Anolis sagrei: one gene and its partners. The protein of the gene in region 1 interacts with the protein of each later gene in a pairwise test. Links are inferred from orthologs where the notes say so. Each region holds a gene or a part of one and is shown on either strand. Other genes may lie near its edges.

Region 1 (7,566 bases):
TGCTAAATAATGCAGTTTGACACCACTTTAATAGCCATGGCTCAATCCTATGAGATCAAGGGAATTGTAGTTTTACAATGTCTTTAACATCCTTTGCCACAGAGCACTGGTGCCTCACCAAAATACAGATCTTAGGATTCCATGGCATTGAGCTTTGGACAGCAAAAGCAAGGTCAAACTGTATTAAATATGCAGGGCAGATGCACCCCAAGACTCCAGGTTGAAATGTATAGTATTCCAGACATCTTGTTCATTTCCGATTTCAGAAACCCTAAGGGACCCTAAGGGAGCCTCCAGTGGCACAGCGGGTAAACTTGCTGACTGAAAGGTCAGCTATTCAAATCTGGGAGTGGGGTGAGCTCCTGCTGTTAGGCCCAGCTTCTGCCAACCTTGCTGTTCGTAAAAATGCAAATGTGAAGATACCGCTTTGGTGGGAAGGTAACAACATTCAATGCAGTCATGCCAGCCACATGACCTTGGAGGCATCTATGGACAACACTGGCTCTTCAGCTTAGAAATGGAGATGAGCACCACCCTCCAGAGTCGGACATGACTAGACTTAATGTTAAAAGGAAACCTTTACCTTTACCTTTAAGGGAGCCTATCACAAAGTTTTCTGGGCACTTTTTTCAAAGGACATTTACCTTTGCCACGCTCTGGATATGACTTTCCCAAGGTTTCCAAGATGAAGTGGGGATTCGAACCCAAGTCTCCAAAATCCTAATCAAACACTTGAACCAGTACATGACACTGGCCCTTTAACTGTTTTTAAAAGTGCTGGAACAATATCCATGCTTGCAGGACAAATTGTGACTCAGGAATTAACCCTCTGGAAAAGTGAAAACTTGATGAAGCAAGAGTGCTTCTGGACATGCATGGCCTTCAACATCAGCCTACACACCCCAGAGTTTACTAGAAAGGCCCCGAGCTCCTTGGAGTGGTGTTTTCAAGGAAACCCCTGCCAATCTTTTTTTTTTCAGAAACAAACTTTGAATACATTTCATCAAAGACAGAAAAAAATCAGGTGCCTCGATTATTTTATATTTTACTGCTCCTGCTAGCAGGAGGAATGCAGTTGTTTTTAATCTCACGTGTCATTGGGTGAAACAGAAAGCCCTTTTCTTTCTCCATCTGCAGTTAGACCGAAGGGAGGAATTTTGGTCACGCGTTTGACAACGGCTGCTTTTAAGGGGCCTGATTTGAATTCATACTGTTGGCATTAAATCCGAATTTATGATTCAAACAGGGAAAGGTCAGTTTGCAGAGCTCGCTATTGGATAAATTCAAAAGAAACTGCAGGGCTGGGATTAATGAAACTGAGCACAGTTTCCCTCTTTCTGATTTTGATTTTGAATTGAGAGGTTTTATTTCCCTCCCTTTCTTAAGGCATTCAGCACCAGCTCTCTCCTTTAAGGGAAAATATCTGGTGCAATCTACAGCCCATTCCAATGCTTTTACTCCAAAGGAGGCCTTATTAAATGCAATGGAAATTGCTCAGGAGTAAGGGTTACAACTGTAGCTAATGCATTTGTATTAACTCAGGGTGCATCTACACTAGGCATGTGCAAACTTGGGCCCTCCAAGTGTTTTGGACTTCAACTCCCACAATTCCTAACAGCCTCAGGCCCTTTTCTTTCCCCCCTCAACCACTTAAGGGCCCAAAGCTGTTAGGAATTGTGGGAATTGAAGTCCAAAACACCTGGAGGGCCCAAGTTTGCTCATGCCTGATCTACATTGTAGAGTTAATGCAGTTTGACATCCCTTTTACTGCCAAGACTCAGTGCTGTTGAATAACATGAGTTATAGTTTTATAAGGTCTTTAACCTTCTCTGTCTGGGAGTGTTAGTACCTCATCAAACTACAAATCCCATGGTTTCATAACATTGAGCCATGGCAATTAAAGGGGTATCAAACTGCATAATTCTGCATCTTCATATCCAAGCCCCATTGATCTCCAGTGGACAACCCCAATAAAGTATCATCTAAAGGTGCCTCCAAACTGTAGAGTTAATACAGTTTGTCATCACTTTAACTTCCATGGCTCAAAACTATGGAATCATGGAAGTCGTAGTTTTACCAAATCTTTACCCAGTTATGCCAAAGAGTGCTGATGCTTCCCCAAACTACAACTCCCAGGATTTCATAGCATTGAAACCTAGCAGTTACAGTAGTGTTGCCAGGCCCGTAGCCAGGATTTCGTTTCGGGGGGGGGGGGGGCTAAAAAATTTTCAGGGGGGGTTTTGGGGGGGGTGAGTTTCGGGGGGGGGGCTGAGTCTGAGTGAAAGAGGGTCTAGCCTAGCAAACCTTTTGTATCATTACCCCAATACCCCCATGCATATGGGATATATTGAGTATGGTGATCAGATCATGATATGAATAAACATAACAGTTTAATTAATGCACCAGTAAGGCCTTTTCGCGAACCACCATGAGAATTTCGGGGGGGGGGGCTGAAGCCCCCCCCCCCCCCCCCGGCTACATGCCTGCGTGTTGCCCTGCCTTAATTCTACAGTGCAGATGGATCCTAAGTGTGGGTTTTGTAATTCTGACGAAATCATAGAGTTGAAAGAGACCCTCAAGGACAATGCAGTTGCCATTAAAGAACACCCAATCAAAGCAGGCCAGATATTATTACCCTTATTGCTATAAATCCTTATTATGACAATGCTCCTTCAGTCTGAGAGGGCATTCTTCACTGTAGACATAAAGAGGTTTGGCCCCACTTTAACTGCCAGGGGTCCATGCAAAAGGCCATCACTCTTAGGCCCCTTTTACACGGCCATATAAAATCCAGATTATCTGCTTTGAACTGGATTATATGGCAGTGTGGACGCATAGAATGAAAATGTTTCCCATTTGGGGGTGGTGCTCATCTCATTTTCTAGGCCGAAGAGCCGGTGTTGTCCATAGATGCCTCCAAGATCATGTGGTCAGCATGACTGCATGAAGCGTTGCTACCTTCCTGCTGAAGCAGTACTTATTAATCTACTCACATTTGCATGTTTTTGAACTGCTAGGTTGGCAGAAGTTGGGGCTAACAGCAGGCGCTCACCTCACTCCCCAGATTCGAACTTCCACCCTTTTGGTCAGCAAGTTCATTAGCTCAGTGGTTTAACCCACTGCGCCACTAGGGACTCCTGTGGACTCATATAATCCAGTTCAAATCATATAATGTGGATGATCTTGTAGAAGGGGCCCCGAGACAGAAAAGGCTCGATACAGAAAAGGCTCGAAACTGCCAGGATTCCATAGCACTGAGAACAGTTAAGGTGGTGTGAAAGGTATTAGTCCTAAATCAGGCATGGGCAAACTGCGGCTCTCCAGGTGTTTTGGACTTCAACTCCTGCAATTCCTGACAGCTGGAATTCTGGAGTTGAAGTCCAAAACATCTGAAGGGTTAGAAAAGACCTTCCAGAAACACACAATCAAAGCAGACATTGTTATTATTACAAATCCTTGTTGTGACACTTGTTCTTCCTTCTAAATGTATTTGTACTTGGCCTTGACATAATCACCATCATAATGAGTGGATTGAGTATGCTTTTGGACACAAGCTGTAATGCAGCGTTTCTCATCAAGTATTCAAGCCAAGTTTGGTCCAGATCCAGCATTGCTTGAGTCCACAGTGCTGTCTGGATGTAGGTAAACTACAATTCCCAAACTCAAGATCAATATCCACCAAACCTTTCCGGCATTTTCTGTTGGTCATGGGAATTCTGTGTGCCAAACTGGGTTCAATTTCATCGTTGTTGGAGTTCAGAATGCTCTTTGATTGTAGGTGAACCATAAATCCCAGCAACTACAACTCCCAAATGAGAAAATCAATCCTCCCCAAGCCCACCAGGATTCAAATTTGGGCGCATTGGGTACTTGTGAATGAAAACACATTTTGCATATCAGATATTTACATGATGATTCATAACTGATAGGAGTTGTAGTTTTGGGAAGTGCTGATGCTTCCCAAAACTACAACTCCCAGGATTCCATAGCATCGAGACCTGGCAATTACAGTAGTGTTGCCCTGCAATAATTCTACAGTGCAGATCGAGCCTAAGTATGTGGGTTTGTGGTCATCTCCATTTCTAAACCAAAGAGCCGGCGTTGTCTGTAGGCACCTCTAAGGTCATGTAGCCGGCATGACTGCTTGGAGCACCATTACCTTCCTACTGGTGCAGTTCCTATTGATCTACTCACATTTGCATGTTTTCGAACTGCTAGGTTGGCAGAACCCTTCATAACAGCAGCAAAATTACAGTTATGAAGTAGCAACAAAAATAATGTTATGGTTGGGGGTCACCACAACGTGAGGAACTGTATTAAGGGGTTAGGAAGGTTCTGGCCTTGAGATAATAATCATTATCCTACTGAGTGGATAGAGTGTGCTTTTGGACACAAGCTGTAATGCCTGGGTGTGTTTGTGTTGTAGTGGCCAAGCCCACCGCCACACAACGCTATTGCTTGGCTCTCTTTTCCCCCTCCCCTCCCCCTCCCCAGAGAAGCGGAGGAGGCGCCGCCCCTCCCTGGTCCCCCTCCCCTCCCTCTCTCCCTCCCAGGAAGCCTCCTCTTCCTCCTCCTCCTCTTCCTCCTCGGTGACAGCTTTCTCTGCCTCTCCATCCGAGCGAGTGGAGGAGGCGAGGTGCGCCGGGACCGCACCGGGAATCGCCTCGTTATCTTCACCGGGAGGGAGAGGAGCGGGGAAACCGAGGCAGCCTCCCCACCCGGGCCAGGAGAAGCCAGCCATGCCCTCCTGAAAAGCAGACCCTCCCGAGCAGAGGCACCTTCCCTTCTCCGCCTTTGCACGCCTCTTCTTTCCCCGAGAGCGGCGCGTAAAAGTGCCCGGGCGCACTCGCCTTCGCCTCTCGTCCAAGGCGCCGGAGCTCCTGCTTCTCCTCTCGCTTTCGCTGCCCTTTCCTGGGGGACGCTGGTCGGAGGACGTGAGCGTTGAAGGAAGGAAGGAAGGAAGGAAGAAGGAAGAAGGAGGAGAGGAGGAAGGAGGAGAGGGAAAGGGTGCCGCTCCTCTCCATTGGCAGCAGCAGCAGCAGTAGAAGCGCAAGCAGGGCGCATGAGAGGGAGAGGCTGGAGGTCTCCATACAGGGACCCTCTCTTCCCACCCAGCCGAAGACGGAGGGCTTGCTGAGCTTGTGGGGCAGCAGGAGAGGCCGGAGCCCGAAGCCAGCGCCGTGGGTTTCTTCCCTGGGGCCGTTTTTCCTCGGTGGAGGAGCCCCCCACTCAACATGGCGAGTGATTCTCCAGCGCGGAGCTTGGACGAGATCGATCTCTCCGCCTTGAGGGTAAGAAGCAGGGGGGGGGGGGGCTTGGGAGGGTGTGTGTGTGTGTGTGTGAGTGTGTGGCAGAGGAGCCCACCCAGCCTCGCTGCCCCCTCCCCCCACAACAGATGTCCCCTTTCCTCCCATCCATCCAGCCTTTCCCTTTCCTCCCTTGCCATCCCAGAACTTCCCAGATGGGCACAAACTGCTCCTCTTGATAACAGCAGGGTTGTTTTTGTTATTGACAGAAAGCCTTCCCTCCTGGAAGATGTGTGGGTGTTCCTGTTCTGAATGGAGGTGGAGAGCTGTCTAGAACCCGCTGGTGATAATCAATAGTATGGGGAAAGGGCAAGAAGAGGGATCAACCAAGCACAGCTGGGAAACAGCATCTATCTCTCATCACACTAGAGAATGAATCCTCTTTAAATCCGGTTGCTGCCTCCTGCAGAATTCTGGGGTTTGTAGTATAGCGAGGCTGTTAAAGTCTCCTCCTTAAACTACAAACCCCAGAATTCTGCAGGAGGCAGAAACCAGATTTTAAGTGGATCCATTCTCTAGTGTGATGAGGTCTCTAAGACTTCATCACACTAGAGATTGAATGTCACTCCTTGTTGTTATCCCTTAATGTTTCATGTCTTCCCTCATATATGATATGAAAGGAGAGGGATTGAAGGCACATTTAAATTAAAGGTGTTTTGGATATGGTTTTGGTCACCTCTCGCCTATTCTGCTGCTTCCTGCAGAATTCTGGGGTTTGCAGTTTAGTGAGGCTGTTAAAGTCTCCTCCTTAAACTACAAACCCCAGAATTCTGCAAGAGGCAGAAACCGGATTTTAAGTGGATTCATTCTCTAGTGTGATGAGGTCTCGAAGAACTCATCACATTACAGCATGAATGTCGCTCTTTGTTGTTACCCCTTAATGGTGCATTTCCTCCCTCATATAAGATATGAAAGGAGAGAGATGGAAGGTGCATTTAAATGCAAGGTGTTTTGAGATGGTCTTGGTCACCTCTCGCCCATTCTGCTGCCTCCTGCAGAATTCTGGGGTTTGTAGTTTAGTGAGGCTGTCAAAGGCTCCTCCTTAAACTACAAACCCCAGAATCCTGCAGAAGGTAGCAACTGAATTTAAAGTGAATTCATTCTCTCGTGTGGTGAGGTCTAGATTGCTCCTTGTTGTTACTCCTTAATAGTGCATTTCCTCACACATATATAATATGAAAGGGGAGAGATGGAAGGCACATTTAAATGCAGGGTGTATTGGAGATCGTCATGGTCACCTCTCACCCATTCTGCTGCTTCCTGCAGAATTTTGGGATTTGTAGTTCAGTGAGGCTGTGAAAGTCTCCTCCTTAAACTACAAATCCCAGAATTCTGCAGGAAGAAGCAACCAGATTTAAAGTGGATTCATTCTCTAGTGTGATGGGGTCTTAGCTCCTTATTGTTACCCCTTAATGGTGCATTTGTTCTCTCATATATAATTTGAAAGGAGAGAGATGGAAGGTACATTTAAATGAAAGGTGTTTTGGAGATGGTCTTGGTCACCTCTTGCCCATTTTGAAGGTTGCTTAATGTGTCTCTTCCAAATCTAATCTTTTTCCCTCCCCTTCTCCTTCAAAATCTACATTGCTGCTACAGTATTTGGGAAAGGAACACATACAATGTGTCCAGGCATCAAAAATAGAAGCAGTAAGGTAGATGAACCAACCCCACTGCTCTCTTGACTCTTTTCCCAGTCTCAGGCTCGTTTGATGATAATATAAACAATCCTCTCTGGCATATGTGGAAAGAAAGGCGGCATGGAAATGCCCATTGCACACCCTGATGTGCCGCTATTAAGACATGTCATGGGGATATGTCTTAATGGTCATGCGTCGCTGTTGTTGCTCCGTGTGCATGCATTTTGCAACCATCTGCTCTGATGCAAGCTAGCTAGGTTGCTATTCTCACAGTGTGTGAAAGCTAAAGACAGTGGTAGTGTCCATTTTGATGAAATAGGATCGAATGCACCTTTTTAATGAGCTCTTCCATTCCTCTTGAAGGAAGAGGATGTACCTCCTGGCTGTTTTAGCCATGTGACATGCTACATACATCACATTATGGGCTGGGGGAATGAACTGAATCAGTCTTGACACAGGCAGATCAGCCTGAGTAGATACTTTGTGTCTAATACTGATATAAAAATGACATGTGTGAGCAGGGCATTGTAGGAATATTAGATGTCTTCATGATGCCTCCTGTAAATAAATTGGGGCCATAAATGTGTTGTCCTCTATTGTTCTGCTTATTCTACCATTCATTT
Region 2 (7,574 bases), on another chromosome or scaffold:
ACATCACACTTCATGATGGAGTTGAAAGTAGTCTCATGAATGCCACAAGACTCCATACCTAAGAGGAGAGAGAGGAAAAAAGGGAAAGATCTGTAAAGATGCTGCCCAATCACTTTATTAGGAGTAGATTCATTATTTACTGCACAATCCATTGTAAGCATACAAGTAAACACACTCCCTCAGAGCTTGCTAATAATTTCTTCTGGATACAATGGCATGCTTACCTAAGAAAGAGGGCTGGAAGAGGGCTTCTGGACACCTAAACCTCTCATTTCCAATGGTGATCACCTGGCCATCAGGCAACTCGTAGCTCTTCTCCAAAGAGGAAGAGGAAGCAGCTGTGGCCATCTCCTGCTCGAAGTCCAAGGCAACGTAGCACAGCTTCTCCTTGATGTCACGCACAATTTCCCTTTCGGCTGTGGTGGTGAAGCTGTAGCCCCTTTCTGTCAGGATCTTCATGAGGTAGTCTGTAAGGTCACGGCCAGCCAGATCCAGTCGCAGGATGGCGTGGGGAAGGGCATACCCCTCATAGATGGGCACAGTGTGTGTCACACCATCTCCAGAGTCCATTACAATGCCGGTGGTACGGCCAGAGGCATACAGAGACAGCACAGCCTGAATGGCCACATACATGGCGGGAGTGTTGAATGTCTCAAACATGATCTGAAGGAGGAAACAGAAAGCTGTCAATAAGGAGGCACTCCCCCAAGGACACACACCCATGCAGGCATGCAAAGTATCAGATGGAGTTGGAAACCAAAAGAAAAACAGGCAGAAATACAACAGAAACCTGAGACTTCAAGAAGGAAATGCCAGGACAGCACAGAGCCCTAAAAGTAAGAGAAGAGACACTGTAACTGGAAAGAAAAATGGGTGGGTGAAATGGGTGAACATACAGAAAATCAGCAGTGCCAACACCATACCTGTGTCATCTTCTCTCTGTTGGCTTTGGGATTCAATGGAGCTTCTGTAAGCAGCACAGGGTGTTCCTCTGGAGCAACACGGAGCTCGTTGTAGAAAGTATGATGCCAGATTTTCTCCATGTCATCCCAGTTGGTGACAATGCCATGTTCAATAGGGTACTTCAGGGTCAGGATACCTCTCTTACTTTGAGCCTCATCTCCTACATAGCTATCTTTCTGGCCCATACCAACCATGACACCCTATAGAAAGAGGAGGCAAAGAAAAAAGCTCAGCTTGTGCTTTTAGGCGTTAAACAGCCTATAACTTCAACCACACAGACAAAACCCTTCATCAGCTAGCTTGCTTGCTCGGCTATTTACCTGGTGGCGAGGGCGCCCAACAATTGAGGGGAACACAGCACGAGGAGCATCATCTCCAGCGAAGCCTGCTTTGCACATACCAGATCCATTGTCAATGACAAGTGCTGCAATTTCTTCTTCCATTTTTATATCTGCTTTTAAAAATGAGGGAAAAAATCATTAAGGAACATTTAACACACCTCACATTCTGGTATAGTGCCCTACTCCCTCCCCCGCTCGCTCCTCAGGCACTGCAGCATCTGGCCACTAGGGGCTGCTCTGGCAGCCTGCCAGCCATTCTGAGGACCCCACCCTCTTGGGCTGCTTTTCTAGACTCATTCATTTCCTCCCTCCACAGACCATCAGCAGGCAGCAGACATTCTCCTCTCTCTCTGCCTTCAATATACACCTTGAAAATTAGTAGCTCAACTTTTAGTCTTAGTTAAGAGCCCCACAAATCAAGCCTAAATGGCTGTCGATGTGCTATGCTATTGGCCCTAGCTATTGAAAATTTAGCTGCAAAAGGCCCACCCTGCCAAAACCAAAAGGAAAAAGAGACACATTTCTCACAACACATGCCAATCTCCAGAACTCAAAGGAGAAAAAAACGAATGACACACCATCACATATCCAAGAGTGAAATTTCTTTGAATCCACTCAGGACACAAAAGACCAGTTTTAGACAAAATGCCACCAAGCCCCGCCCAGTGAACTTTAAGCAAGCAGCCCCCTAGAAAACATTTAAATGAAGGAAAAGGGTAGGATGGGGGCAAAAAACCAATACTCGGCTCTTAAAAACGTCCCCCACCCTTTGCTGCAACCCCCCTCCGATTGGATTGAAACCAAGACGTCTAGACCAGGCATGGGCAAACTTTGGCCCTCCTGGTGTTTCAGACTTCAACTCCCACCATTCCTAACACCCTCAGGCCCTTTTCTTTCCCCCTTAAGCCGCTTAAGCGAAAAGGAAAGAAAGGAAAGGGCCTGAGGCTGTTAGGAATGGTAGGAGTTGAAGTCTGAAACACTTGGAGGGCCAAAGCTTGCCAATGTGTGGACTACACTGCAGAATTCGCGCATCTCGACAACGCCACTAAAAACCATACTCCCGTGATCCCACAGCATCGAACCATTACAGTGAAAATGGGGGCCGACCTGCATGCACTCCGTAGTGTCATTGCCCCCCCTCTCTCCCTCCCTGAACTGCCTCCCTTTTCGAATAGATTTTACAATGGTCTCCTTTCCCGCCCAGTGACGTCAGCGCCCTCGCCCGGCCAATCCGGCGCCAGCTGCCCTCGGCCCTGCCCAATCACGAGAACCGTTGCGGGCTCGCGAGGAGGGGGGGTTCGCGCGAGCCAAGCCGGCCGCGAGGAAACCGCCTTCCCTTTTTCAAGGCGCCCCTCGGAAGCCGTTAGCGGCTCGAGACGAGGAGGCGGCGGGAAAGGGGCTTAACGCCCACGCTCTTTAAATCATAAACCGCTTCCTATCTTTACAGGCACACTCATGTCCAATCTAGAATTTTTTAAATAAAGTATATACTTTTCGCATCCGTTTTGGACAAAACCAGTAACAGCTGCATATAAAATATTAATAGAAAAAGGCAAGGTGTGGGGGGGGGGGCGTGAGGAGGGGGACGTGACCTACCTGCAAGGAGGCGGAAGCTTCAAAAGGTCAGGAGACAAGAGAGAGGAGCCGATCGTGCTAGATCCGCTGCCGCCGGCTGAGTGAGACCGAGCGAACGCCAGCCCCGCCCCTTTTATACCCAGGGGGGCGGCGGCCCCCGCCTGGCCGGCCGAGAACATCGCCATATATGGAGATCTTTCAGAAACATGCGCTCCCATTGGCTGGGCCGGGCCGGGCCACGTGGGGCAGGCGAAAGCGGCTCGGCCACGCCCCCCTCCTCCGAAGCCCCGGAACCTGGATGCGCGCAACGAGGGCGAGCTGGAGGAGGGGGTGGGCAAGGCCAGGCTCAGAGCCCCTCTCTCAGTCCTCGCCCTTAGGGTGGCTTCTCTAGAAGACTTTCCACCCAGAAGAATCCTCCACCTTGTGCGACTGGGGAGCAGAACAGGCCACTCCGTATCTGTATGCGTGTCCACAGTGCCCTGCCTGATGCTCAGAGGAAGAACTGTTTAAAGTATTTTGAAGGCCTCTCCCCCACTCCCAAAATACAGTCGAGAACATGTCTACACTCTCACATGGGGACTAGGGCTGTGTCAGGCCCATAGCCAGAATTTTGATTTGGGGGGGGGGCTGAGTTTGATGGGGGGGGGGGGCTGAGTCTGAGTGAAAGAGGGTCTGGTCTACCCTAGCAAACTTTTTGTATCCTTACCCCAATACCCCCATGCATATGGGATATATTGAGCATGGTGATCAGATCATGATATGAATAAACAGAACAGTTTAAGTAATGCACCAGTAAGGCCTTTTCGCGAACCACCATGAGAATTTCGGGGGGGGGGGGGGGGCTGAAGCTCCCCAAGCGCCCCCCTCCCCTGGCTACATGCTTGGGCTGTGTGTTTATGTGGACTCCTCTGAGGGCTACTCTCAGGTCTCCTATTGTGGAGGTTGCTTGCCTTTGCCCTACGGCCACCATTTTGTAGCCAAGGTGCATGAGGCCTGCCTACAAGTTGAGCAGTTGAACGGGAGACCTCACAATCTCTGAGAATTCCCACCATACATGCAGGCGAAACGTCAGTAGAGAATGCTTCTGGAACACCTATGGTGGAGGTCGCTTGCCTGTGCCCTATGGCCACCATTTTGTAGCCAAGACGCATGAAGCCTGGCTACAAGTTGAGTGGTTGAGGGGGAGACCTCACAATCTCTGGGGATGCCCGCCATACATGCAGGCGATAATGTTTCTGGAACATGGCCATGTAGCCCAAAAAACCTACAACAACTGCCATGGCTCAATCCTATGGGATAATGGGAGTCATCGTTTGGTGAGGCGCCGGTGCTCTTTGTCAGAGAAGGTGAAAGACCTTGGAAAACTACAGAACCCAGGAATCCATAGCCTTGGAGTGGTATCAAACCACATTAATTCTACAGTGTGGATATACTTTGTTGTTACATAGGGCAAATATTTACATATGGCTCCGGTTTGCACCTCAGTGCCCATAATCCCTACACAGTATGGGAGGAAGCAAGGGATTATGGCGGTTGTAGTCAGGGTGCCACAGCCCTGCCCTGCTAGGAAATGTTGAATCAATGCACTAGCCTTTCTACATCATAAGGCAGACTTGGTGTCTCTCTCCTGAAGTACCTGTAATTTGCAGCCTTGAGTCTCCCCAGGGGAAGCCGGCGGCCTTTCACCATCCCAAGAAAAGACCCAAGGCCTGCATCCCATTCCTGAGAGGATGCCCCTTTATCCTTGAGCTGTCACGCCTTGCGTTCTGGGTTGAAATATTGCCCTATATGGTCCTTGCATTGCCATGTTTTTTCACCTGTGCCACCACCATGTTGGATCTGCCTGCCTCTGCAGTGCTGAATGCCACACCTTTCCATTCGACTTGCATTGCTTAAGTGAAGGGTAGAGGACTATTATGTTGCTATAGTCACAGCAGCATTGTGTTTTCTGTACGGAAAGATACTGACGCGCTTGACACGCTGCAATTCAGGAATGCTATAGTGGACTTCTAGGAGAGTTATAATGACTTTTACATCACTGCACTCCCAGGAGCCAGCAAATATTACGAAAATCAGTATGCCCTCCATTTCAATGGTTCACAAGCCGTTAAATCATAATGTGATTTTAAAAAGCAAACAATGTGCTATACAGAGCTTTGATAAGCACTAGTCTCACAAAACACTGCCTATAGCCTGTGGGGTGCATACACTGTAGAATGAATGCAGTTTGACATCGCTTTAACTGTCTTGACTCAGGGGGTTTGTGCAACACTCCTTGGCTAAAGACCTTGTAAAACTCGAGCTCCAATGATTCCAGAGCATTAAACCATGGCAGTTAGCGTGCTGTCAAACTGAATTTGTTCTACAATGTAGATATATCCTAGGGCACAATACATTAAACCAATGTTTCTCAAACTGTGTTGCTCCAGGTGTTTGGGACTTCACCTCCTAGGCAACTTACCAGCTGTTAGGAATTGTGGGAGCTGAAGTCCAAAACAGCTGGAAGAGCACAATTTGAGAAACTCTGCATTAAACTGTATACAAACCAGGAAGTGGGTTCTTTATAGAAGCTTTCCCCACATATTCTTCAAGTATTGGACTACAATTCCCATCCTCCCTAGCCAATATTAGGGAAGGCTACTTTGAAGCATTTTTTTCATGATTGGGCTCAAAATATCTCTCTAGGATTCAGCCCTCTGTTCCAAGGAAACTGGTAATCCAGTCTGCAAAGATGACCATGCAGTTACTATTCAGGTAAGGGGGGACTCCATGCCCCTCAGGCCTTTAAGAAACTTTAGATCAGAAAGTGATGCACAAGGTGTTTCTGTTGAATGAAGCAGAGCACAATCCACTGACCCCAGGCAACCCATGTGGTCCAAGCTGCCCCAGGTTTTCTCTCCTTTTAAAGTGATAGGTATGGAAATTGAGGAAGCCTGCTCAAGATATGAAAAGAGTAGCCATGCCTTTGACTGTGAAGTCTCTTTCAAGTTCTGCAGAGCATCAGGAAACCTCACTATGTATGATTTGTTGTCCTGCTGGGTTCTTCCTAACAATAGAAACTGCTTTTCATTGAATTAGAAGTGAAGCATACTTTGTCTTCAATTGCTTATTTCTTGTATGGAAGTGGGGGGCAGGAATTGGACTTACCATACAGTTAGCCAAAAAAAAAAATGCAGCCTTTTGCTTTTCATTTCATTTCCCCCCCTAAGCAGACATCTTAGCTGTTGACAGCAATCAGCTGTATCAAAGCTCAGAGGAAAGAGGGAGACACCTCTTTTGGGTAAGCTCCAGATCCAAACACAGGTAAAACAGCCAGGCCCTGCCCATCCCTGTTCACTGCACACACCTAGGAAAATAACCAGGCCTCGCCTATGAGCAGGTGACTAAGCTCTTCCTTCCCACGGAAGCCTAACCCTCTCGTCTTCCTAATTTGGGAAGCAGCCTGCCAAGTCAACTGAGAGTTAAGCTACCAATAGCAGAAGGCTGCAATATGAGTAACAACCAGCGCATCAGTGGAAATCAGACACATCATAGAATCACAAAAGGATGATTCGTTTGGTATCGACTGCTCCACTCCAAGGGAATATTTGCAAGATTATTTGGAATCCTTCAATTTTGGGAAATGGTTGCGTAAGCAGATAAACCAAGCCATGGTGGATCTGGTCCAGCTTTCTGTTCTCATAGTGGCCCATTGGGTGCATATGGGAAACCTATTGGCAGGAGACAGATGCAAAAAAAAAAAAAACCCCTCCCATTTCCAGTTCCGTCCTCATCATCATAGGCACTGATCAGATTAAAATGCCAATTTTACATAAGCAAACAACACATGTGGAAGGGGACCAAGATTATTATTGTTGACCCATGCAAGGCACTTTGACTCTTACACATGTAGTCACTGACACTTTCAATTTGCCTTCCTTATATGGCAGTACCAATATGTCAGTACAAAGTGTCAAACAACCATATCATAGGCTTTCAAGTAACCTTGAAGGGCGGGGAATATTTGAATAGGGCACAGCCTTCCCCCCACCCCTTGTGTATTCGTTCTTTATGTTCTGCCCTCCCTATTAGTGCTTTCATCATGTTAAGTCTGGGCTTTTACTTTTTTAAACTGAGAACATTTAGAGGAAGTATGGTGTATATCACGTGTTTTAAGACTTTCTGAATTTGTCTGCAACATAAAATTGAGAATTCAGCAGGATTTTTGCCATACATTTGCCACCAATTATTTGCCAGGAATACACAGTCTTATCTTTGGTGAGAAGATAAAACTGAGGAAGTAAGCAGGGCACTCCCGCAAGTGACAATATAACATTTACAGCCAATTCCTTTCTGGCCACCGAAACTCAAAGCATAACTAGTGGAGGAAGACCCAACAGCAACCCTTTCAAGGTCAGCAGGTCCTGCTTCCTTCCCCGGTTTGGAAACGTTTTGTGATTTCAACACCCCTTGTTTTTCTTGCTCTTTCCTCCATTTCCAACCACAGATGCCATGTTGAATTGTGAAGTGACACATCATTGCAGGAGGAGGAAATGGCACGCGCAGCATAACTCGTGTGCGCTTCATGAGGCAGGTTTTGTTTCTAGTTTCTTTACTGCAGGGGTGGGGGGAAAGAAAAGCTGAACAATGCTCCAAACCCCTACGTCTTTGTTCTCCAGGTCTTTCCAATGGTGTGTGTGCATGCTCCAGCGTGGG
Region 3 (7,338 bases), on another chromosome or scaffold:
TGGACCTCTTCAGGATTCCCTACAGAGTTTTATAAGCTACTTTGCAATATAGGCAGTCCTCAAGCTACAAACAAGACAGGTTCTGTAGGTTTGTTCTTAAGTTGAATTTGTCAGAACAGGTACATTCCTAAGCGTCACTCCAGTCCAAAATACGTATATCTCTTTCAGCTTTGGACAGCATTAGAAGGGTTAACACCCCAATGGTGTTTGTTTTGCTGTCTGTGCCCCTTTTCAGAAGTTTCTGTCGCTGTGATCATTGGATTTTGAAAAAATGTGGCTTGTGGTAGAAACAAGGATTGGTGATCAGGCTTCAGTGGAGACACCTTTCTTGGTGATAACTCTTTCAGGAGTGAATTTCCTTTCCTAGGGATGGATTTCTCCCTCCCTTTCTCTCTCTCTCTTTTCTCTCTCTCTCTTTGAGGGAAATAGACCTTGACATTTGGGAGTTGTAGTTACTGGGATTTATAGTTCTCCTACAATCAAGGAGCATTCTGAACCCCACCAATGACAGAATTGGGGAACAGAACCCTCACGACCAACACAAAATAATGTGCTTTCTGGTAGTCTTTGGTGACCCTTCTGACCCCTCCCCCCAGTGTCCCCCAGGGGTCTTGACTTCCCAGGTGGAGAAATTGCCCCATAACATGGATTGGACTCCCTTCACCAGGGCAAGAAAACACAATCAAAGCCCTCCTGACAAAGAGCCATCCAGCCATTCACAGACACACATATATGTATATGACAGATGCAGTATCAAAGATTTGAAAGGGGCCTCTAAAGAAGGACAATGATATGTTGCCTGTTCCAGAGTAGGCAAACCAGACACTCTCCACATCAACACTGGCAAAGAAACAGCAAGAAATACTGTTTACCGACAAGCAGAAAGACATTACATATATTAGAAGCCAACACTTTCTCATTACTTTATTTTCCAGATCACCAGACTGGGCCACAGCAACACATGGTAGGGGACAGCTAGTATATAAATAAAAATGTAATGTTCGTTTGTGGGATTAACATAACTCAAAAACCACTGGACAAATTGCCGTCAAATTTGGCCGCAAAACACCTACTAACCCAAGGAGTGACCATCACTCAAAAAAATTGATTTTGTCATTTGGGAGTTCTAGTTGCTGGGATTTATAGTTTACTTACAATCAAAGAGCATTCTGAACTCCACCAATAATGGAATTGAACCAAACATGTTACACAGGACTCTCATGACCAACAGAAAACACTAGAAGAGTTTGGTAAGCATTGACCTTGAGTTTGGGAATTGTAGTTCACCTACATCCAGACAGCACTGTGGACTCAAACAATGATGGATCTGGACCAGACTTGGCATGAATACTCCATATGTGCATTGTTTGAGTCCACTGCTTTGAGCTGGATTATAGGAGTCTACACTGCTCTATTATCCAGTTTGAAGCAGATAATCTGGATTTTATTTTGCAGTGCGGATAGAGGCAGGGGCTGCTCAACCCATTGTAAGCATTTGCAGTATAGTTGATTTTGCCCAGGGGCGCTCTTGGGGGGGAAATAGACCTTGACATATGCAAGTTGTAGTTACTGGGATGTATAGTTCACCTACAATCAAAGAGCATTCTGAACTCCACCAATGATGGAATTGAAGCAAATATGGCACACAGAACTCCCACGACGAACAGAAAATATATATCAGTGATTGGTTTGGGGGGGGGGGGGGGAGGGGGAGTGTGCCAAAATACAGTTTGCTTACCGTTGAAAATTACCTAGGGCCGCCTCTGGATAGGGGATGACATTGCCCTATAAAACAGATTGTACTAAGATCCTAAAGTATGATCTGCTTTGAACTGGATTATAGGAGTCTACATTGCCATATAATCCAGTTCAAAGCAGATAATCTGGATTTTATATTGCAGTGTGGATGGGGGATGACACTGCCCCATAAAATAGATTTTACTAAGACCTAAAACATGATCTGCTTTGAATTGGATTATAAGAGTCTACATTGCCATATAACCCAGTTCAAAGCAGATAATCTGGAATTTATATTGCAGTGTGGATGGGGGATGACACTGTCCCATAAAATAGATTTTACTAAGGCCCTAAAACATGATCTGCTTTGATCTGGATTATAAGAGTCTACACTGTCCTATAATCCAGTTCAAAGCAGATAACCTGGATTTTATTTTGCAGTGCGGATGGGGACTGACATTGCCCTATAACACGGACTGTACCAAGGCCCTAAAACATGATCTGCTTTGAACTGGATTATAGGAGTCTACATTACCATATAATCCAGTTCAACACAGATTATCCGGATTTTATTTTGTAGTACGGATGGGGGCTGACATTGCCCCATGATCCAGTTTCAGAATGGGGATAGATCTGGATTGTAGGGCAGTGTTGACTGATTTAAAGCACCTTGAGGGCCCTTCCTAGGCCATATAACCTAGAATATCAAGGCAGAAAATCCCACAATATCTGCTTTGAACTGGGCTGAGTCCATGCTACCGTATATCCCAATTCAAAGCAGATAATGTGGGGTTTCATTCAGCTGTGTGGAAGGGGCCTGAGATTGAATCCGATGGATATAATCCAGTTGGATGCAGTAAAGCTATATTCTGGAATTGGATGATAATATGACAGTGAGGGAAATGCATGGGCTCAGAATCCAAGTCAGAGGATAGAGATGTTATTCTAAGGCGATGGTCTCAGGCAGGGTGATGTCAGTCCTTCCCAAGCAGGCCAGGGTGGCCCCCGCCCCCTTCTCCTTCCCCTCCCAAGCCTCTCACCTCCTGAGGCTCCTGAGTCCGGGGCTGGGAAGGGAGGCCGGAGGGGCGATCTTGCTTCGGGGACCGCTCCGTGCGGGGGGCCTGCGCCCGGGGGCCCCTCGCCCAATGCGCCGGGAAGGCTTGCCTTCTCCGGGGGGCGCCGATGGTCCTCCGGGGGCCCCCGTCTCCCTCCGCTTCGCCGCCTGCATCTTCCTTCTCCTCCGCCGCCGCCCAGCAGCATCCTTGGCGGCGTCACCGCGCCTTTGGGAGGTCGGGAGGGGCGGGGCCAGCGCCAGGCAGGAGAGGCGCCCCAGACAGGCCCGGGTGACCTCTGAGGTGGCCGCCAGCCTCACTCACAGAATGCAGCCCCAAATGCATTCTAGGCCTCTGTATTAGTGGTTCCCAATCTCTATCTATCTATCTATCTATCTAGCTATCTAGCTATCTAGCTATCTAGCTATCTAGCTATCTATCTATCTATATGTAAATAAAAATGTAATGTTCGTTTGTGGGGTTAACATAACTCAAAAACCACTGGATGAATTGACACCAAATTTGGACACAGGATACCTAACAACCCAATGTATGTCCTTCACTCAAAAATTTGCTTTTGTCATTTGGGAGTTGTAGTTGCTGGGATTTATAGTTCACCTATAATCAAAGAGCATTCTGAACCCCACCAGTGATGGAATAGGACCAAATTTGGCACTCAGGACTCCCCTGACCAATAGAAAACACTAGAAGGGTTTGGTGGGCATTGACCTTGAGTTTGGGAGTTGTAGTTCACCTACATCTGGAGAGCACTGTGGACTCAAACAATGATGGATCTGGACCAAACTTGGCACAAATACTCAATATGCCCAAATATAAATACAGATGGAGTTTGGGGGAAATAGACCTTGACATTTGGGACTTGTAGTTACTGGGATTTTTAGTTCACCTATAATCAGGGAGAATTCTGAACCCCACGAATGACAGAATTGGGGCAAACTTCCCACACAGAACCCCCATGACCATCAGAAAATACTTAAGGTCATCCAATCCAACTCCCTTCATCAGGGCAAGAAAACGTAATCAAAGTCCTCCTGACAAAGAGTCATCCAGCCATAGATAGATATGATTCACACACAGAGATAGAGTATCATAGATTTGAAAGGGACCCTTAAAGAAGGACAATTATATGTTGCATGTTCCAGAATAAGCAAACCAGACACTCTCCATATCAACACTGACAAAGAAACAACAAGAAATACTGTTTACCCACAAGCATAAAGAAATTACATAGATAAGAAACCATTACTTTATTTTCCAGATCACCAGACTGGGCCACAGCAACGCGTGGCAGGGGACAGCTAGTATATATATATATATATATATATATATATATATATAAATGCTCTGTGTGTTAAAAACAAAAGAACCAATGAACGAAATCACACCAAATTTGGTAACAAAATATCTCACAACACAAGGAGTGACCATCATTAAAAAAATTATGATTTTGTCATTTGGGAGTTGTAGTTGTTGGATTTATAGTTCACCTACAATCAAAGAGCATTCTGAACTCCATCAACAATGGAATTGAACCAAACTTGGCACACAGAACTCCCACAACCAACAGAAAATATTGTAAGGGTTTGGTGGACATTGACCTTGAGTTTGGGAGCTGTAGTTTACCTACATCCAGAGAGCACTGTGGACTCAAACAATGATGGATCTGGACCAAACTTGGCACAAGCACTCAATTCGCCCAAATATGAACACAGATTGAGTTTGGGGGAAATAGACCTTGACATTTGGGAGTTGTAGTCACTGGGATTCACAGTTCACCTACAATCAAAGAGCAATCTGAACCCCACGAACAACAGAATTGGGGCAAACATACCACACAGAACCCCCATGACCATCAGAAAATACTTAAGGCCATCCAATCCAACTCCCTTCATCAGGGCAAGAAAACGTAATCAAAGTCCTCCTGACAAAGAGCCATCCAGCCATAGATAGATATAGATAGATAGATATGATTCACACACACGCACACAGATAGAGTATCATAGATTTGAAAGGGACCCTTAAAGAAGGACAATGATATGGTGCATGTTCAAGGGTGGGCAAACCAAACACTCTCCGCATCAACACTGACAAAGAAACAGCAAGAAATACTGTTTACCCAACAAGCATAAAGAAAATACATATATTAGAAATTAACACTTTCTCATTACTTTATTTTCCAGATCAACAGACTGGGCCACAGCAACGCGTGGCAGGGGGCAGCTAGTTTATTTATATTGGGCCATGCCCCACCTAAGCATCTCTTAGTTAGTCCACTTCTACACTGCCAGATAAAATCCAGATTATCAGATTTGAAACTGGATTATATGACAGTATAGACCAGACATTGGCAAACTTTGTCCCTCCAGGTGTTTTGGACTTCAATTCCCACAATTGCTATTCAGAGCAGGGTATAGGGTCGCAACCTGTGCTGGATGGGGTTACACTCCCCTTGAAGGCACAGGTTCGCAGCTTGGGGGTCCTCCTGGGCTCATCACTGAGCCTGGAATCCCAGGTTGCAGCGGTGGCCAAGGGAGCGTTCGCACTATTTGAAGTTTCCGAGCAGTCTTCAAAGGCAACCCCGGTGGCCAAGGGAGCATTTGCACAATTAAAACTTGTGCGCCAGCTGTGCCCGTACCATGGGAAGTCAGACTTTGCCACGGTGGTCCACGCTCTCGGTACATCCAGGATAGACTACTGCAATGCACTCTACGTGGGGTTGCCTTTGAAGACTGCTCGGAAACTTCAAATAGTCCAACGAGAAACTGGGGTGGCATACAGGGAGCATACAACTCCCAAGTTACACCAGCTCCACTGGCTGCCAGTTTGCTACCAGGCACAATTCAAAGTGCTGGCTTTCACCTATAAAGCCCCAAACATGCAAATGTGAGAAGAGCTATAGGTACTGCTCTGGTGGGAAGGTAACAGCGCTCCATGCAGTCACGCTGGCCACATGAGCTTGGCGGTGTCTATGGACAATGTCAGCTGTTCAGCTTAGAAATGGAGATGAGCACTAACACTTCAGAGTTGGACAACACTGGACTTAATGTCAGGGGAAAATCTTTACTGAGATATGGTCAGCTCTCTGTGTCCATGGACTCTGGACCCACAGATTAAACTTCCATGACTTTAGAATACCCCACATCTCAAAAACACATTACTTTTGCCATTTTATATAACAACATGTCATTTGATTATGCATTATATGGGACTTGAGCATCCATTGCTTTTAGGATCCATGGCAGGCCCTGGAACCAAACCCCAGCAAATACCAGTATTTAGAATTCTCTACCAGAATCTCGTGCTTCCCCAAATTACAAATCCCAGGATTGCATAAAAAGTATTCATGGCAGTTAAAACCTATTAAAGGTGCATCTTCAGCCTCCTTAAAGTCTCCTTCTTGTTCTCAGTTACTTCTTGACAGCCACCTAGTGGCAAGGACTGTCATGAAAGACACCAGGACTTGGCTTCTGACTTCTAATCAAAATTTGCCACAGTTTTCAGATTCATACCTTTTTCCTTGGGTCTGCAATTTCTTTCATATGGAAGATATATTCCTCAATATAGCAACAGTTCAAGGATAAGGGAAGTCCAATGAGATTAAAGAGGAAAACAGAGAAATACCTAGAGAATGGCAAAAGGACATCCTTTGGGCGATGCAAATTGGCACATTGTCCCTCTCTGATCTGTGTACTTGTGATCTTGTCACATATCCAAACAAGGATGTTTGAATTTATACCAAATCTTTATATATGAAGTGCATGCAAAGTGGCATACAACAATCATTTGTCGATAATCTCGAAATAGTACATAAAAAAGAACAGCTTCAAAATGAGCAAGAATCACAATGGACTCTGGGTCCTTCCAGCTATAAAACCCAGAATATCAAGGCAGAAAATCTCACAATATCTGCTTTGAATTGGGTTATCTGAGCCCACACTGCCATATATATTCAAAGTGCTGGCTTTAGCCCATAAAGCCCTAAACAATTCTGGCCCAGCTTACCCATCCGAATGTATCTCCTCCTACGAACCATCTAGGAGCTTAAGATCGTCTGGGGAGGCCCTGCTCTCGATTCCGCCTGCCACACAAGTGCGATTGGCAGAAACGAATGGCAGGGCCTTCTTAGTGGTGGCCCCCTGGGTACGGAACTCCCTCCTCAGGGATATTAGATCGGCCTCCTCCCTCCTGGCTTTCCAAAAAAAGTAAAGACCTGGCTCTTTGAGCAAGCTTTTGAGAATGCAGCGGAATAGATAACACAGAACTATGAATGATGAACATGGAACAGCCAGACGATGTGAAGGTTTTTACCAAGACAACACCGATGATTATATGCTTTAACAGTTTTTATTTATGTTTTATATTGTAATGTTGATTGTTTTTAATTGCACTTTTATGAATGCCTGACATCGAATTGTGCTAATCTGTAACCCACCTTGAGTCGCAGTATGGCTAAAAAAGGGAGCTATAAATACCGTAAATAAATAAATAAATATATTCCAGTTCAAAGCAAATAATGTGAGATTTCATT
Region 4 (7,280 bases), on another chromosome or scaffold:
AAAACATAGGATCAATACACAAATACATTCAAAATAGAGGATCAATGCACAAATAAATTCAAAATACAGGATCAACGCACAAATAAATTCAAAATACAGGATCAATGCAAAAATAAATTCAAAACAGAGGATCAATGCACAAATACATTCAAAATAGAGGATCAAGGCACAAATAAATTCAAAATATATGATCAAGGCACAAATAAATTCAAAATAGAGGATCAAGGCACAAATAAATTCAAAATAGAGGATCAATGCACAAATAAATTCAAAATACAGGATTAATGCACAAATAAATCCAAATATTAGATTTTAAAAAGAAGACAGGGTAAATAAAAGGCAGGAGATATGCAATGTGTAAAATAGGATACGGTAACTGCAAAATTTAGCATTAAATGGCCTTGCAGCTTCAAAGACTGGCTGGTTGCTTCTGGGGGGTTCTTTTTTGGGAGGTGTTAGGCGCCTTCGGTGGCACAGTGGGTTAAACCGCTGAGCTGCTGAACTTGCTGACCAAAAGGTCGGCAGTTCAAATCCAGGGAGCAGGATGAGCTCCTGCTGTTAGCTCCAGCTCCTGCCAACCTAGCAGTTTGAAAACATGCAAATGTGAGATCAATAGGTACCACTCCGGCGGGAAGGTAACAGTGCTCCATGCAGTCATGCTGGCCACATGACCTTGGAGGTGTCTTTGACTTAGAGATGGAGATGAGCACCAGAGTCCCCGAGTTGGACACAACTGGACTTAATGTCAAGGGGAAACCTTTACTTTTAACTAATTGGAATCATTAAATAAAAACTTAAGGGAGGATGCAATGTAGGAGAGATGCAATATGCAAAATAGGATCCATGCAAATTAAATATTGCATTGTTTTGAGCACTGTTTACTGCTTTAAGAGAGGAAAGCAGTATATAAATAAGTGTCTATATAAATAAAAAGGTATTGTTAGTTTGTGGGATTAACATAACTCAAAAACCACTGGACAAATTGACACCAAATTTGGACACGATATGCCTATCAAACCAACGAATGACTGTCACTCATAAAAACACTGAAAAACACAGCAGAAGAGACTTAAAAAGCCAAAAAACTAAAAATTAAATTACAACACATGGGCAAAACCATATATATATGCAAAAACACATATACACAAACACACAAAACACATATACACAGAGTGGGCCACAGCAAAGCGTAGCAGGGGACGGCTAGTCTATATAAATAAAAATGTAATGTTCATTTGTGAGATTAACAAAACTCAAAAACCACTGGATGAATTGACACCAAATTTGGACACAAGGCACCTAACAACCCAATGTATGTCCTTCACTCAAAAAAATTGATTTCGTCATTTGGGAATTGTAGTTACTGGGATTTATAGTTCACCTACAATCAAAGAGCACTCTGAACCCCACCAACGATGGAATTGAACCAAACTTGGCACACAGTTCTCCCATGACCAACAGAAAATACTGGAAGGGTTTGGTGGGCAACGTCCTTTGGTTTTGGAGCTGTAGTTCACCTACATCCAGCGATCACTGAGGACTCAAACAATGATGAATCTGGACCAAACTCTACACAAATACTCAATATGCCCAAATGTGAACACTGGTAGAGTTTGGGGAAAATAGAATCTTGTCATTCAGGAGTTGTAGTTGCTGGGATTTATAGTTCACCTACAATCAAAGAGCATTCTGAATCCCACCAACTATAGAATTGGGCCAAACCTTCCACACAGAACCCCCATGAGATCCACAACAACGTGTGGCAGGGGGCGGCTAGTAATAAATATAGTATTAAAATACAGTATAATAAATCAGAATATTACATTACAAAATAGGATCTATGTAAATTGGATACTGCATTGTTTTTAGCATAGTTCACAGCCTGAAGAGAAGAAAGTGGTATGTAAACAAATATAATATTATAATATAATAAATGCAATAACAATACAATATAAATTCATATAATGATAATATATCAAAATATAAAAATCGAAATATTGCAATAGTTAGGGGACCATGTAAGGTGCATGTAATGTCCAAAATAGGATAGGCACAAAATAAATCAGAGTTTGGGAATTGGAAGAAACTATAACTCCCATCAGCCTGCAAGCAGCATACTGGGAGTTGTGGTCCCTTTAAAAAGGATGCTCTATAGTAGGGAATAGGCACAGAACTTGAGCCAAAAAATGGGGTTCAAACTAATAATCATAATATGTAGTATTTGCAAAATAAACCACAGCTTTGGGAATTGGAAGAAACTATAACTCCCATCATCCTGCCAGCAGCATCCTGGGAGTTGTGGTCCCTTTAAAAAAGATGCTCTATAGTAGGGAATAGGCACAGAACTTGAGCCAAAAGGGGAAACTGGGTTCAAACTAATAATCATAATATGTAATATTTGCAAAATAAATCAGATCTTGGGAACTCCCATAAGTCCCATCATCCTCCAACCAGCATGCTGGGAGTTGTGGTCCCTTTAAAAAGGATGCTCTGTAAGAGGAAATAAGTACAGAACTCTAGCCAAAAAGTAAAACGGGGTTCAAACTAATAATCATAATATGTAATATCTGCAAACACGCATGATGACACGTGTTCCCCATGTCACGTTCACACGAGACGCCCTCTGCGCGTCAATTTGCGGGTTTATTTTCTTTTTCCTTCCCTCCTCAACCACAGGAGCAGGAAAGAACGCAAACACGCATCTTGCACGCTTTTTGCACGCATGCATGTGTGAATGGGCCAAAAGGGGGCTGACTTGCGTGTTTTGCAGACTCATACCCCATTCTTATGGACCGGGGGATAAACTAACATGGTGTTTGCTTATATTTTTGATGGGGACTTTGCAAGCCTTGCAAAAGTAATCCCTTCCCTCTTGCATTGCAGTGCATTGCATCTCCCCTTCCTCAGGCAATCCCTCCCACTCTCTCCTTCTTACCTGTCCTTGGCTCTTCTTCCCTCCTCGGACTGTCCGAATGGCGCAGCAGCACTCCGGCCCTTTTATCCTACAGCCCCTCCCTCCTTTTTCTCCCCCCCCCCCCCACCGCTGTGACGTCACCTTCCCCATCCAGGTCCCCAGTTCTCAATCCATCCGCAAAAAGGCGCACTACCCAGAGTGGTCGCTAGAGGGAGCGCTCGCCAATGGGAAAACAGCATAGCCTTATGACTCTTTGTTGTTGTTCATTCGTTCAGTCGTCTCCGACTCTTCGTGACCTCATGGACCAGCCTACGCCAGAGCTCCCTGTCGGCCGTTACCACCCCCAGCTCCCTCAAGGTCAGTCCAGTCACTTCAAGGATGCCATCCATCCATCTTGCCCTTGGTTGGCCCCTCTTCCTTTTGCCTTCCACTTTCCCCAGCATAATTGTCTTCTCTAGGCTTTGCTGTCTCCTCATGATGTGGCCAAAGTACTTCAACTTTGTCTCTAGTATCCTTCCTTCCAGTGAGCAGTCGGGCTTTATTTCCTGGAGGATGGACTGGTTGGATCTTCTCGCAGTCCAAGGCACTCTCAGCACTTTCCTCCAACACCACAGCTCAAAAGCATCTCTCTTCCTTCGCTCAGCCTTCCCGAAGGTCCAGCTCTCACATGCGTAGATGTGACTACAGCGAATACCATGGCTTGGACTAGGCAATGGATCTTGGTTGCCAGTCTGATGTCTCTACTCTTTACTATTTTATCGAGACTGGACATTGCTCTCCTCCCAAGAAGGAAGCGTCTTCTGATTTCCTGGCCACAGTCTGCATCTGCAGTCATCTTTGCACCTAGAAATACAAAGTCTGTCACAGCCTCCACGGTTTCTCCCTCTATTTTCCAGTTGTCAATCATTCTTGTTGCCATCATCTTGGTTTTTTTGATGTTTAGCTGCAACCCGGCTTTTGCGCTTTCTTCTTCCACCTTGATTAGAAGGCTCCTCAGCTCCTCCTCGCTTTCGGCCATCAGAGTGGTGTCATCTGCATATCTGAGGTTGTTAATGTTTCTTCCAGCAATTTTCACCCCAGCCTTGCATTCATCAAGCCCCGCACATCCTCGCATGATGTGTTCTGCATACCAGTTACAGAGGTTGGGTGAGAGTATGCAGCCTTGCCGGACGCCTTTCCCAATCTTGAACCCGTCTCCTGTTCCGTGGTCAGTTCTGACTGTTGCTCCTTGGTCCTTGTACAGATTCCTCAGGAGAGAGACAAGGGGGCTTGGTATGCCCATCCCACCAAGAACTTGCCACAATTTATTATGATCCACACAGTCAAAGGCTTTGGAATAGTCAATGAAGCAGAAGTAGATGTTTTTCTGAAACTCCCTGCCTTTCTCCATTCTCCAGCATCCGGATATTGGCAATCTGGTCTCTCATTCCTCTGCCTTTTCTAATCCCAGCTTGAACATCTGGCAACTCTCGCTCCATGTATTGCTGGAGTCTTCCTTGCAGGATCTTGAGCATTACCTTACTGGCATGAGAAATAAGGGCCACTGTACGGAAGTTTGAGCAGTCTTTCGCATTTCCCTTTTTTGGTATGGGGATATAAGTTGATTTTTTCCAGTCTGATGGCCATTCTTGTGTTTTCCATATTTGCTGGCAAATGGCATGCATCACCTTGACAGCATCATCTTTTAAGATTTTAAACAGTTCAGCTGGGATCCCGTCGTCTCCTGCTGCCTTGTTGTTAGCAATGCTTCTTAAGGCCCATTCAACCTCACTCCTCAGGATGTCTGGTTCTTATGACTCTAGGTCAGCGTTTCTCAACCTGGGAGTGGGGACCCCTGGAAGGGGGGGGGGTACGAGGGGGTGTCAGAGGGGTCGGCAAAGACCACCAGAAAACACAGAATTTCGTATTGGTCCTGGGGGTTCTGTGTGGGAAGTTTAGCCCAATTCTACCGTTGGTGGGGTTCAGGATGCTCTTTGATTGTAGGTGAACTATCAATCCCAGCAAATACAACTCCCAAATGTGAAGCTCTATTTTCCCCAAACTCTACCAGTGTTCACATTTGGGCATATTAAGTATCCGTGCCAAGTTTGGTCCAGATCCATCATTGTTTGAGTCCACAGTGCTCTCTGGATGTAGGTGAACTACAACTCCAAAACTCAAGGTCAGTGCCCACCAAACCCTTTCAGTATTTTCTGTTGGTCATGGGAGTTCTGTGTGCCAAGTTTGGGCCAATTCTACCATTGATGGGGTTCTGAATGATCTTTGATTGTAGGTGATCAATCCCAGCAAATACAACTCCCAAATGTCCAGCTCTATTTTCCCCAAACTCCACCAGTGTTCATATTTGGGCATATTAAGTATCCATGCCAAGTTTGGTCCAGATCCATCATTGTTTGAGTCCACAGTGCTCTCTGGATGTAGGTGAACTACAACTCCCAAAACTCAAGGTCAGTGTCCACCAAACCCTTCCAGTATTTTCTGTTGGTCATGGGAGTTCTGTGTGAAAGGGTCCACAGAGCTCTAAGTATCTCATCGAACTACAACTCCCGACACTCCTCAATATGGAGCTGTGGCTGTGGCTCCATACTGAGGAGTGTCGGGAGTTGTAGTTCGATGAGATACTTAGAGCTCTGTGGACCCTTTCATGCTATACAAGGGGTCTTATTTCCCTGCCAAATAGTAGTAGCGCCTTGCTAAACTAGAAATCCCAGGCCCCTTGTATAGCATGAATGGGCCTACAGAGCTCTAAGCATCTCATCAAACTACAACTCCCAACATTCCTCAGTATGGAGACACAGGCCCAAAAGGTAGATCGTACAATGGAATGCATGCAGTTTGGCACCACCTTAGCTTATCCTGGGAGTTGTAATTCCACAAGGTCTTCGGCTTCTCTGCCAAATAGTAGTGGTGCCTCACTACACTAGAAATCCCGAAGACCTTGTGGAACTACAACTCCCAGGATCAGCTGAAGTGGTGTCAAACTGCATGCATTCCATTGTACGACCTATCTTTTGGGCCTTGTGTTTACTTTTCTGCACCTCTGTCCCTTGATTCACCTTTTCCTCCTTTTCAGAGTAAACAAACCCAAAACGTTTGAACTTCCCTTCCAATCTCTTAATCCGCTTAGATGTTGCAAACCTCATGAAGGATGTTCTCACAGGTGTGGTTTTTGAATGTGCAATGAACATGACCTTGATCAAGGCTGCATGTAACAAAGGTTACCTTTATACCAGGCATGGGCAAACTTTGGCCCTCCAGGTGTTTTGGACTTCAACTCCCACAATTCCTGGCCTCAGGCCCTTCCCAGCTTCAGGAAAGGGCCTGAAGCCGATGTTGAACATGAATTTAGGAGACTCTGCCGAAGCAGAGGTCAGCAGGTTCCCCAGAGTTGTCAGGCTTCTGGACACACATGAGATGCAGGGGTCCATAATGAAAAAGTGAGATAACAGTTAGTCACAAAATTAGTCTAGGAGAAAATGGCATCGGTTTGGAGTCGGTCCGTTGACCGCGGATACGGGGCCCCAAAGGGTTTCCATATCCACGGTTCAGAGGAACGCAGTTTCAGCCTCCCCGGGATGCTGTACGAGCATCCTGGGTGAGCCAACAGTGGAGTCGATCTGTTGACCTGCGGATACGGAGGCCCAAAGGGTTTCCGTATCCATGGTTCAGAGGAACACAGTTTCAGCCTCCCCAAGATGCTGTAAGAGCATCCTGGGTGAGCCAACAGTGGAGTCGATCTGTTGTCCCGCGGATACGGGGGCCCAAAGGGTTTCCGTATCAACGGTTCAGAGGAACGCAGTTTCAGCCTTCCCGGGATGCTATAAGAGCATCCTGGGTGAGCCAACAGTGGAGTTGATCTGTTGACCCACGGATACGGGGGCCCAAAGGGTTTCCGTATCAACGGTTCAGAGGAACGCAGTTTCAGCCTTCCCGGGATGCTATAAGAGCATCTTGGGTGAGCCAACAGTGGAGTCGATCTGTTGACCCGTGGATACGGGGCCCCAAAGGGTTTCCGTATCCATGGTTCAGAGGAACGCAGTTTCAGCCTCCCCAGGATTCTGTAAGAGCTTCCCGGCTGAGCTAACAATGATCTGCGGCTCGGAAAGGGAAAGGTTCATGTTAGAGAGTGTTAGAGGCAGTAAAGAGACACAATGTATCACTACGAGGAGAAAAAGTTGCAGTTGAAGGATACTTTTATTGGGGATTATTACACTGTTGTTACAAAGGAAAGCAGACGGTGATTTTTAGTTGAAACTACTGCTGTGGCCACAGTCCCATCATTGTTGGCCCAATCAGATGTCCTGGAACTGCGGAACTCCCTGCTGCGGTTCAGATCAACTTGATTGAGGGAGCTTGGGGGCTCGAC

Evidence for each region.
Region 2: the proteins of TNIK (region 1) and ACTG1 interact in a two-hybrid assay, tested with the Homo sapiens proteins (2 studies listed by BioGRID and IntAct). The link is inferred for Anolis sagrei from reciprocal best matches to the Homo sapiens genes TNIK and ACTG1.
Region 3: the proteins of TNIK (region 1) and PDE4DIP interact in a two-hybrid assay, tested with the Homo sapiens proteins (2 studies listed by BioGRID and IntAct). The link is inferred for Anolis sagrei from reciprocal best matches to the Homo sapiens genes TNIK and PDE4DIP.
Region 4: the proteins of TNIK (region 1) and CLU interact in a two-hybrid assay, tested with the Homo sapiens proteins (2 studies listed by BioGRID and IntAct). The link is inferred for Anolis sagrei from reciprocal best matches to the Homo sapiens genes TNIK and CLU.

Annotation. Positions count from the first base shown.
Region 1 is NC_090023.1:252,620,765-252,628,330, reverse strand, and holds the start of TNIK (TRAF2 and NCK-interacting protein kinase), read left to right. Parts: upstream 1-4,547; 5' UTR 4,548-5,234; coding exon 5,235-5,291; intron 5,292-7,566. UniProt on the Homo sapiens protein: Serine/threonine kinase that acts as an essential activator of the Wnt signaling pathway. Recruited to promoters of Wnt target genes and required to activate their expression. May act by phosphorylating TCF4/TCF7L2.
Region 2 is NC_090022.1:131,819,403-131,826,976, forward strand, and holds the start of ACTG1 (actin, cytoplasmic 2), read right to left. Parts: upstream 3,010-7,574; 5' UTR 2,901-3,009; intron 1,418-2,900; exon of another isoform or gene 1,415-1,417; 5' UTR 1,407-1,414; coding exon 1,284-1,406; intron 1,164-1,283; coding exon 924-1,163; intron 664-923; coding exon 225-663; intron 59-224; coding exon 1-58. UniProt on the Homo sapiens protein: Actins are highly conserved proteins that are involved in various types of cell motility and are ubiquitously expressed in all eukaryotic cells.
Region 3 is NC_090024.1:132,332,662-132,339,999, reverse strand, and holds the start of PDE4DIP (myomegalin), read right to left. Parts: upstream 3,016-7,338; 5' UTR 2,966-3,015; coding exon 2,778-2,965; intron 1-2,777. UniProt on the Homo sapiens protein: Functions as an anchor sequestering components of the cAMP-dependent pathway to Golgi and/or centrosomes.
Region 4 is NC_090021.1:3,070,546-3,077,825, reverse strand, and holds the start of CLU (clusterin), read right to left. Parts: upstream 3,017-7,280; 5' UTR 2,936-3,016; intron 1-2,935.